2 linked regions of the Canis lupus familiaris genome follow. The protein of the gene in region 1 purifies or fractionates together with the protein of each later gene. This does not show direct contact. Links are inferred from orthologs where the notes say so. Each region holds a gene or a part of one and is shown on either strand. Other genes may lie near its edges.

What was found.
Region 2: the proteins of HNF1A (region 1) and PCBD2 purify together in Homo sapiens (affinity purification with mass spectrometry; 4 studies listed by BioGRID and IntAct, with this or other methods). This does not show direct contact. The link is inferred for Canis lupus familiaris from reciprocal best matches to the Homo sapiens genes HNF1A and PCBD2.

The regions. Positions count from the first base shown.
Region 1 is NC_049247.1:17,167,033-17,171,219, forward strand, and holds the end of HNF1A (hepatocyte nuclear factor 1-alpha), read left to right. Parts: coding exon 1-20; intron 21-106; coding exon 107-251; intron 252-2,170; coding exon 2,171-2,298; 3' UTR 2,299-3,582; downstream 3,583-4,187. UniProt on the Homo sapiens protein: Transcriptional activator that regulates the tissue specific expression of multiple genes, especially in pancreatic islet cells and in liver. Binds to the inverted palindrome 5'-GTTAATNATTAAC-3'.
Region 2 is NC_049232.1:22,974,444-22,978,992, forward strand, and holds the start of PCBD2 (pterin-4-alpha-carbinolamine dehydratase 2), read left to right. Parts: upstream 1-1,568; 5' UTR 1,569-1,592; coding exon 1,593-1,667; intron 1,668-4,549.

The sequences.
Region 1 (4,187 bases):
GCCTCACGCCCACCAAGCAGGTAAGGCCCAGGCCGCCCCCCCCTTGATCAGGCCCCTCTGCAAAGTGCTCCCATGGGGAACTCAGGAGGCTGCTCTGTCCCCCCAGGTCTTCACCTCAGATGCTGAGGCCTCCAGTGAGTCCGGGCTTCATACGCCGGCGTCTCAGACCACCACCATCCACATCCCCAGCCAGGATCCTGTTGGCATCCAGCACCTGCAGCCTGCCCACCGGCTCAGCGCCAGCCCCACCGGTGAGCAGCCTTTCCCTGCTCCCTCAGCTGGGGAGGAAGGTGTGTGCCACAAGCGGGAGGGCACCCTGTGCTCCCCTGAAGTCAGCCAAGAGGGGTACAAAACCACAGGAAAATGGGCCTATCTTACAGGAATGTCTCGTTGACTCTGTTGAGGAAAAAGATTAATTGAAAGAGGCAGAGGGTACTGATGAGGAGTACGCGGGGCTGCCCATGGGGCCAGAAGCGGCGCACAGGCGTGTTGGTGTGGCTCAGGGCTTAGCCCTGTTTGAGTATGTTGCCCACATTTAAAAGTTAGCTTTCACAAAGAAATCATGGTTTCTGGCTTTTCTTGGAAAATTGGAGACTCATGTTCCCATGTTCAGTGACAAAAGAGTGTGGGCTCTCCAGGTCACCACATCCCACTTGACCCATTCGGTTCAAGTCCCTGGTGCCCTGCATCTGCAATGATGAAGAGCAGGCCCCTGGAAGTCAGGCTGCTGGGCTCTGAGGCCGCAGGCGATCACTTGCTAAGTGCGTGACTTTAGGCCACTACCCTGCTCCCCATTCCCCTCCCGGAGCCTCAGCTTCCTTTCTCTAGTGCTAGTGGCTGCAGTGACAAGTTACTGAGGGATCCATGGGCCAGCCTCCATGCTTCATCCATGGGGCATGTGTCATCGTCCCCATTTTACAAATGAGAATTTGCACACTCAGGAGGTGAGGGACTTGACCTTGCCTCTGACAGTGACCAGGTGGCAGGGCCAGGACTTGAACCCAGGTCCAAACTCAGAGCCCATTCTTTTAGCCACTGGAGTCAGCCAGGGTTCTGTTTGAGACACAAGCCAACAGGAATACAGTGTTGACCCCTGAATAACACGGGTTTTGAACAGCCTGGGTCCACTTGTATGCTGATTTTTTTTGGTAGAGCACAGGACTGTTAAAAGTACTTTTTTTTCCTTAGGATGTTCTTTTTTTTTCTTAAAGATTTTATTTATTTATTCATGAGAGACACACAGAGAGGCAGAGACAAAGGCAGAGGTAAAAGCAGGCTCCCTTTGGGGAGCCTGATGTGGGACTCGATCCCAGGACCCTGGGATCACGACCTGAGCCAAAGGCAGATGCTCAACCACTGAGCCACCCAGGCGCCTCTCCTTAGGATGTTCTTAGTAACATTTCTCTAGCTTACTTTGTTGTAAGAATACCACGTATAATACCTAGAACACGCAAAATATGTGCTGACTGTATATGTTACTGGTACGGCTTCTGGCTAATAGTAGGCTATTAGTAGTTAAGTTTTTGGGGAGTCAAAAGTAATATGCAGATTTTTGACTGTGCAGGGGGTCAGTGCCCCCAACCCCCACACTGTTAAAGGGCCAACACAAGTATATGTAAGAAACTGGCTCAGGTGCCTGTGGGATGGCAAGTCTGAAAGCTGTAGGGCAGACCAGCAGGCTGGCAACAGAGGTAGGATTCCTTTTTCTCTAGGGAACCACAGCTTTTGTTCCTAAAGCCTTCAAATGATTAGATGAGACTCCCTCACGTCTTCAAGAGAAATCTCTCACTGTTTCCAGCCAACTGATTATAGGTGTTAACCACATCTACAAAATACCTCCACTGTGACACTTAAATGTTTGGTTCAATGCCTGTACTATAGCCTAGCAACGCTGACGCATAAAACTAACCACACCATCTCACCAGGGCTTCTCAAATGTTTCCACTAAAATGTTCTGAGGAGGCCACTCACTGTGCGGCCCCCGAGCCTGGCTGGGGGCGTTGATGAGACCCAAGCATAGAGGTTTGGTTTTGGAGTTCTGGTTATCTGCTGCAGTTCAGGGGATGGCAAGGCCTCGTGTCCTCGGTGCCAAGAACCCCTTGGGATGGGTGGGCGAGGTGGGGTCAGGAAGGGCTTGGCCGGCAGCCAGCTGTCTCACTCGCCCCTGCAGTGTCCTCCAGCAGCCTGGTGTTGTACCAGAGCTCCGACTCCAACAACGGCCACAGCCACCTGTTGCCATCCAACCACAGCGTCATCGAGACCTTCATTTCCACGCAGATGGCTTCATCCTCCCAGTAACCATGGCAACGCCTCCCAGGGGCTGGGCCCTGCCTGGAGCCTGCCTGGCCTACTTGGGGGGTGACTGGGACATCTGAGCCTGTGACACTTTCACTGCCACCGGAGTGCAGCCTGAAAACTGTGCCTTGGTTCCCAGCCTGCTCTGTCAGCGTCAGAAAGAGTTCCAAGGCTCCCCGACCTCAGGAGGGCTGCTTCAGTGCCCAAGAGGGGACTGTGGAGAGCTGGGAAGCAGAGCAAGACACAGGAGGGACTGTTCCTGGTGCTCAGGGTCAATCTTGTCATTTGGAACACAAGGGCCGGCCTTTGGATTTGGGGACCCTGGTGCCCCTGGTGCCCCCAGCCCATGCCTGTGGAGAGCCCCAGAACCCCCAAGGGCACTCTGGCAGTTGCACTTCTCAAGACATGAGGCTGTGGAGCTGTGACTCACTGAGCTCCAAGAGGCCCAGGATCAACACAGCCCCATCCTGTCACCTGTGTCCTGATCAGGTCCCTCCACCCTGCTCCCCTTCTAGCTATAGTCCCACATGCCTGTTTGTACCTACCCTGCCCCTAATCGCATGAGCATTCCCCAAGTGGTTCCTCTGTGCTGGGGCCTGGGGCTTGGATGCAACCCCCTGGGAGAGCTCCAGCTAGCAGCAAAAAGCATGCAGGGCTCTCCAGCTTTTCTCGTGCTGAGCCATCCCTCTCTGCAGCCTCTTGGCCGTCCGTTCTCCTGGGTATCACACCTTCTAATGCCAGTCTGGCATCTTGCCTCTGCGGGAAAGACCCCCTCTGGGCTAGGAAATCATCTCTGCCCCATGGGAGCCTTGTGACTGCGCCTGGTGCTGTCAGGATTCTGAGCAACAGCTCCTCTGGCCTGTGGGGCCCTGCAGCCCCTCCCTGGTTTGGGGAAGAAGCTGCTGAGCTTGGAAGGCACCAAGGCCTGAGCAGGTGGCAGATCCGAGGGGCCCAGAGAAGGGAAAGGAACCAGTGGAGAGAAGCCACTTGCATGGACAGGATTGTCACCGGGCTGGCTGAGGGATGGGGAGAGGTCCAGCTACACCCAGGCCCCTGAGGTCCCGAGTGCCACCAAGAGAGACAAGCCAGCTGTGTAAACCTGGAGCTCCGTGGCCTCCACTTCCTGGGGCTGCTGCAGATAACCTGGCTTGCAGACTGCTCCCATCCTGGGACTGAGGAAGGGGCCAGGGAAGAACCAGCGCCCCCTGCAGCTTGCAGCCAGCTAAGGGCAAACCTGTACATTTATTTAACTTTTAGTAAAGGAAAGGAGGAACGGAAGAGTGGAAATGAGTAGTGGAAACTTCTTGCTTGTCCACACAGCGCCCAGGTGGGGCTGGGCAGGCAGAGGGAGGCGGGGGGTGGGGGGGGGGTGGGGGAGGGTGAGGGACTGGGGCCTGAGGAGAGATGGCTCAGTGCACAGACTCTCAGGTCCCACCTCTGTCTTTGTTACTCGGCTGAACTCCGGAGGCAAGGCCACGAAGCCAGAATTTCCCCTTAACTCTGAGCTGCTCCTCTTTCCTGCAGAACACTCCTGGTGTGTAAAACCCCATCCACAAGTGCTGCGATACTTTCCAGTCTTGAGGCTGGGGTGCGGGAACACCCACTGGGCTGCAGGCAGCAGGACACCACCTATGTAATGTTTACTTAAAATGTCTCATCAAGGTTCAGCATTGATATGGAGGCAGCACCCCAATCACTTTAAGTTTGGGGTCTCTCGACAATTTATTTTCAATAATCTGGCTGGCTCAGAGACATGATTGTACATGGTACATTCACAAATGGAAAAGACTTCTGGAAATCTGGAGTGGGGGACGAATCTCTCCTTTTTCAGACAATGTTACATCAAATCTGTGTGGCCTGGAGGGAGAAGTACAAAACTCTTTCTGGGCCGA
Region 2 (4,549 bases), on another chromosome or scaffold:
TTTTTCCAAAGATTTATTTATTCACGAGAGACACAGAGAGGCAGAGACGCAGGCAGAGGGAGAAAGCAGGCTCCTCGCAGGGAGCCGGATGTGGGATTCGATCCCAGGACCCTGGGATCATGACCGGAGCCAAAGGCAGGCACCCAACTGTTGAGCCACCCAGGTCTCCCGATCAGGAATCTCTTGTTACCTCACACCCACCAGTTCATTTTGCAGTTCTCACTTCAATAAGCAAGTTTGCAGAGTATTCTTCATAACTGTATACACCTAATTAAGTACTGGAAATGAAACTTTTAATCCTGTCTCCAGTCTCTGCCCACTTGAGGCACCAAAGGAAACTAGAATGTCTTAGATGAATGCTTTGAGATCAGTGACATCCGATCAGGGTCTGCAGAGATTCCTCCATTAAGTTTTTGTGAAGTGGGCAAAGGTAAGAATATGGATTGAGCCATAAGTCTGAATTTTAGGATATTTTAAGGCAAAAACGCTTATCCCCCAATCGATATGTGAAAAAAATTAACTGCTAGCACCTGCTAAGTTGAACTTAAATGGGCACGCATAGAAAAAATTCTCTAGTATATGGCTAAATGTTAGGCAAAATGGATTATATTATAGAACCCTGGGTGGCTCAGCGCATGACCCCAGGGCCCTGGCGTTGAATGCCACATTGGGCTTCCTGCAGGAGCCTGCTTCTCCCTCTGCCTGGGTCTCTGCTTCTCTCTGTGTTTCTCATGAATAAATAAATAATCTTTTTAAAAATTTGGCTGTATTATTAATTTGCTTAAACTAGTAAAAGATCCAAGTGAATACACTAAAAGGCCGTAAACTGTACACTTCAAAGGGTGAATTTTATGGTATGTGGCGTCCCATCGCAAAAAAAGGCAAGAAAAAAAGGAGTAAGAATAAAATATTAGTGAATACATAAAAGACCCCCCCCTCCCCTTTTCCAGAAAGAGACACACTTCCGTAAATAACCCGCGTACGTTCCTCTGCGGAGCGCGCCCCGGGCGCTTCTCTTCGCGGGGCACGGAGGGCCAGGCTCCCAGACTCCCCGGCGGGCACGGCGGAGCTCGCCCCGGGCCGGTCCACGGTGGCTCTGGCCCTCCGCGGGCGGGGACACGGGCCGACCCGCGCCCGGCGCCCACCGCCTCGCGCCCCGGCCCGCGGAGTCCTTGCGCCCACCGTCGGCGAACGTGGGTCAGGCCCCAGCGCCCCGCAGCCAGCGGCGCCAGCCCGCCGGCCCCGCTCCCGGCCCCGCTCCCGGCCCCGCTCCCGGCCCCGCTCCCGCCCCGCTCCCCGCCCCGCTCCCCGGCCCCGCTCCCGCCCCGCTCCCGGCCCCGCTCCCCGCCCGGGCTGGAGGGGGCCTGCGGGGCCTGCGGGGTCGCCCGCCTGCCGCCCTGCCGCCTGCCGCCCCCTGCCGCCCGCGCGGTCGGCGGCCCTGAGGCGCCCGGGCCCTTCCGGGGCGGGCCGCGCGGGCGCTCGCAGGACGGCGCGGCTGGAGGCCGTTCGCACGGCCCCGCGGCTCCCGGCCCCCCGGTGGGCCCCGCGGGCGGCAGGCAGGCAGCGCGGCGGGCAGCCCTCGGCCGGCGGCCATGGCGGCGGCGCGGGGGACGTCGCGGCTCGTGGTGGCGACTCTGCGGGGCCGGGGCGCGAGCTTGTCGGCCGGGGTGAGAGCCGGGGGGAAGGAGAGCGCGGCGGGAGGAGAGCGAGGGGCCCCGCGGCGGGGCGGGGGCGGGCGCGGGGGCGGGCGGGCGCGGGGCCCCTGCCGGACCTCCGGGCTGGCGTGTCCCGTCGCGGTCTACGGAGCTGCCCGCCAGAACAAAACCGAGGACGATTTTGGCTTAAAAAAAAGAAAGAAAGACGAGCACGAATAGTAGCGGTAAAGCTGTCTTTAGCGAGCCCGGGCGCTGCGCTCGCTGGTGCGCCGGCTGAGAGCGGGGCCCGGCTCCACGCCGCTCGGCGCGGGGTCAGCGCGCTGCTGTGGATGTGCTGCTTTAGGAGGAATTATTAGGGACACTTACCTATTTTACAGGGGACAGATCTGTTCTCTCCTCTTCCGCAGAGCGTCCCGTCACTTTACCGGCCGTGGAAATTAATGTATGGAGATAAATGAACCTGAGGGAAAGTTTGGACACGCAGCACCACCTAGTGGGGAAATGTTGCATTAAACTTCCCATTTCATCCTCCGTCGCTTGCTAGAGCCCCCTGGGCAGTTGGAAAGTGTTTAACAGGGATTCATTTAAGGTAGCTTGACGACGGGGGCACCTGGGCGGCTCAGCGTCTGCCTCTGGCCCAGGTCGTGATCCCGGGGTCCTGGGATAGAGTCCCGCGTCAGGTTCCCCCAGGGAGCCTGCTTCTCCCTCTGCCTCTCTCTGGCTCTCTCATGAATAAATAAATAAAATCTAAAAAAAAAAATATATATATATTTTAATGATGATGATGGACTCTGTTTCGTGGCCAGTAAGGTGAGAGCACGAGTTGAGTGCTTACTGACACCTAAACGTGTCCCAAAGCATACCTCTACCCAAGGTGCTGATAATCCAGTAAAATTACGGGGTTCAGAGGAATGAATAAACGACATGATTTGAGTGGCTGCACCAAGCCATGGTGGCTCTATGCTAGGTGTCTACATTCAAGATCTCTTTAACCCTTTCAAAAAAGTTTGACAGGTAGTTGTTGTGATACCCCCACCATAGACATAGACAGAGACATGAGGATACTGGTATTGAGAGAAGCTAAGTGATTTGTTCAGTGTCACCGCACCTGAAAGTGACAAAGCTAGGCCTTGAATCAAGTTCATTCTCTCCAGACTCTATGCTCTTCCCTATCCCTGTCCCCATCTCCTGCAGAAAAAAAATTAAGCCCATCATAAAGGGTTCTGCAGAAGGTGTATCTGCAAGGGGACCATTTGTGCTAGGTAGGTGAAGTGGCTCCATTTCACAGTCCTGGACTCAGTCCCTGTTCTTGGGCAGACACCTGTGGCAAGTACCGAGCACAGAGCACATACCATTGCCCTCATTGGGGATGTGCAGGGTGGAGAATGTGGAGATCAGCTCAGTGGGCATGTTTTGCTCACTTCAGGTGACTGCTGCATTACCCACAGCATGGTTAATGGTTTTCTTGGCAGCTACTCAGCGTGGACACAGATAATTTAAATTCTTTTACATAATTTTTGGAGTTGAATTAACATATTTAAGTGACTAATAAGAATTTTAGATTATTTCCTATAGTGGGTCACTATAAAACTAATGAATAGGTGTTTTGGATTTTTTTTTTTTTAAGATTTTATTTATTTATTCATGAGAGACACAGAGAGAGAGAGAGGCAGAGACACAGGCAGAGGGAGAAAGCAGGCTCCTCGTAGGGAGCCTGATGTGGGACCTGATCCCAGGACCAGGATCATGCCCTGGGCTGAAGGCAGACACTCAACCACTGAGCCACTCAGGTGTCCCAGTGTTTTGGATCTTAATATTAACAGTAATTGTTTGGCTTTTTAAAAAAATTTGTTAGAGAGAAAGAGAGACCATGCGTGGGGTGAGGGGCAGAGGGAAAGGGAGAAGCAGAGAGCCTGATGCGGGGTTTGATCCCAGGCCTCTGGGATCATGACCTAAGCTGAGGGCAGATGCTTAGCCCACTGAGCCACCCAGGTGCCCCAATAGTAATTGGTTTTGATAAGAAGTCTTCAAATGTTTCTATTAGAGACTTTTTTTTCTTTTCTTTTTTTTTTTTTTTTTCTTATGTTGTGGGAAGGGTGGCTACCTGGCAAGGAACAGAAACAAGAAAATTGGCTCATGAGCATCCTTTTTTTCCTTTTATTAGAATAAATTGTCTTTTTTTTTTTTTTAAAGATTTTATTTATTTATTCATGAGAGACAGAGAGAGAGGCAGAGATATAGGCAGAGGGAGAAGCAGTCTCCCTATGGGGAGCCCGCTGTGGGACTCGATCCCGGGGCCCCGGGATCACACCCTGAGCCAAAGGCAGGCTCAACCACTGAGCCACCCAGGTGCCCAAAATAAGTTGTCTTAATTTCACTGATTCTGCCCTCTTAATTACATTAATGTCAGTGATAAAAGGTTTCAGGATTTCTAAAATGGGAACGAGTTGTACTTTCACAGTGGAGGATCCAGCTCAGCCTCCAGTTGGCATTTCGTGAGGACACCTTATAATACGTTTTGTGTTTCTGGGTGACAGTCCCTCTCTCACCTGAGCCTTCAATAGCTCCGAAAATAGATATGGTTGGAAGTATTGTTTGGCATTTATGCTGGAGAGCTAAGCTCTTTTGACTTCTCCTACAGTATCCTTCTCTTCTTTCTCTAGCCGTGATGTTTAGATTTCTTTCCTTAAAAAACAAATAGCTTGGAAATGTGGGCCTGTTAACCAACAGAACTCTGGGTTTGTGAATTTCATCACCAGGGTGAGTGCAGGAACAGGGTGGACAGTGCTCTGGCCAGACTGGAGGGATTTGTCTTCCTGGTGTCCTGGAAAAAACCTCACTTTACTAAGGCAAGGGCTTTTTGCTTGTGGTCCAGAGGATCTGTGGACTCCTAG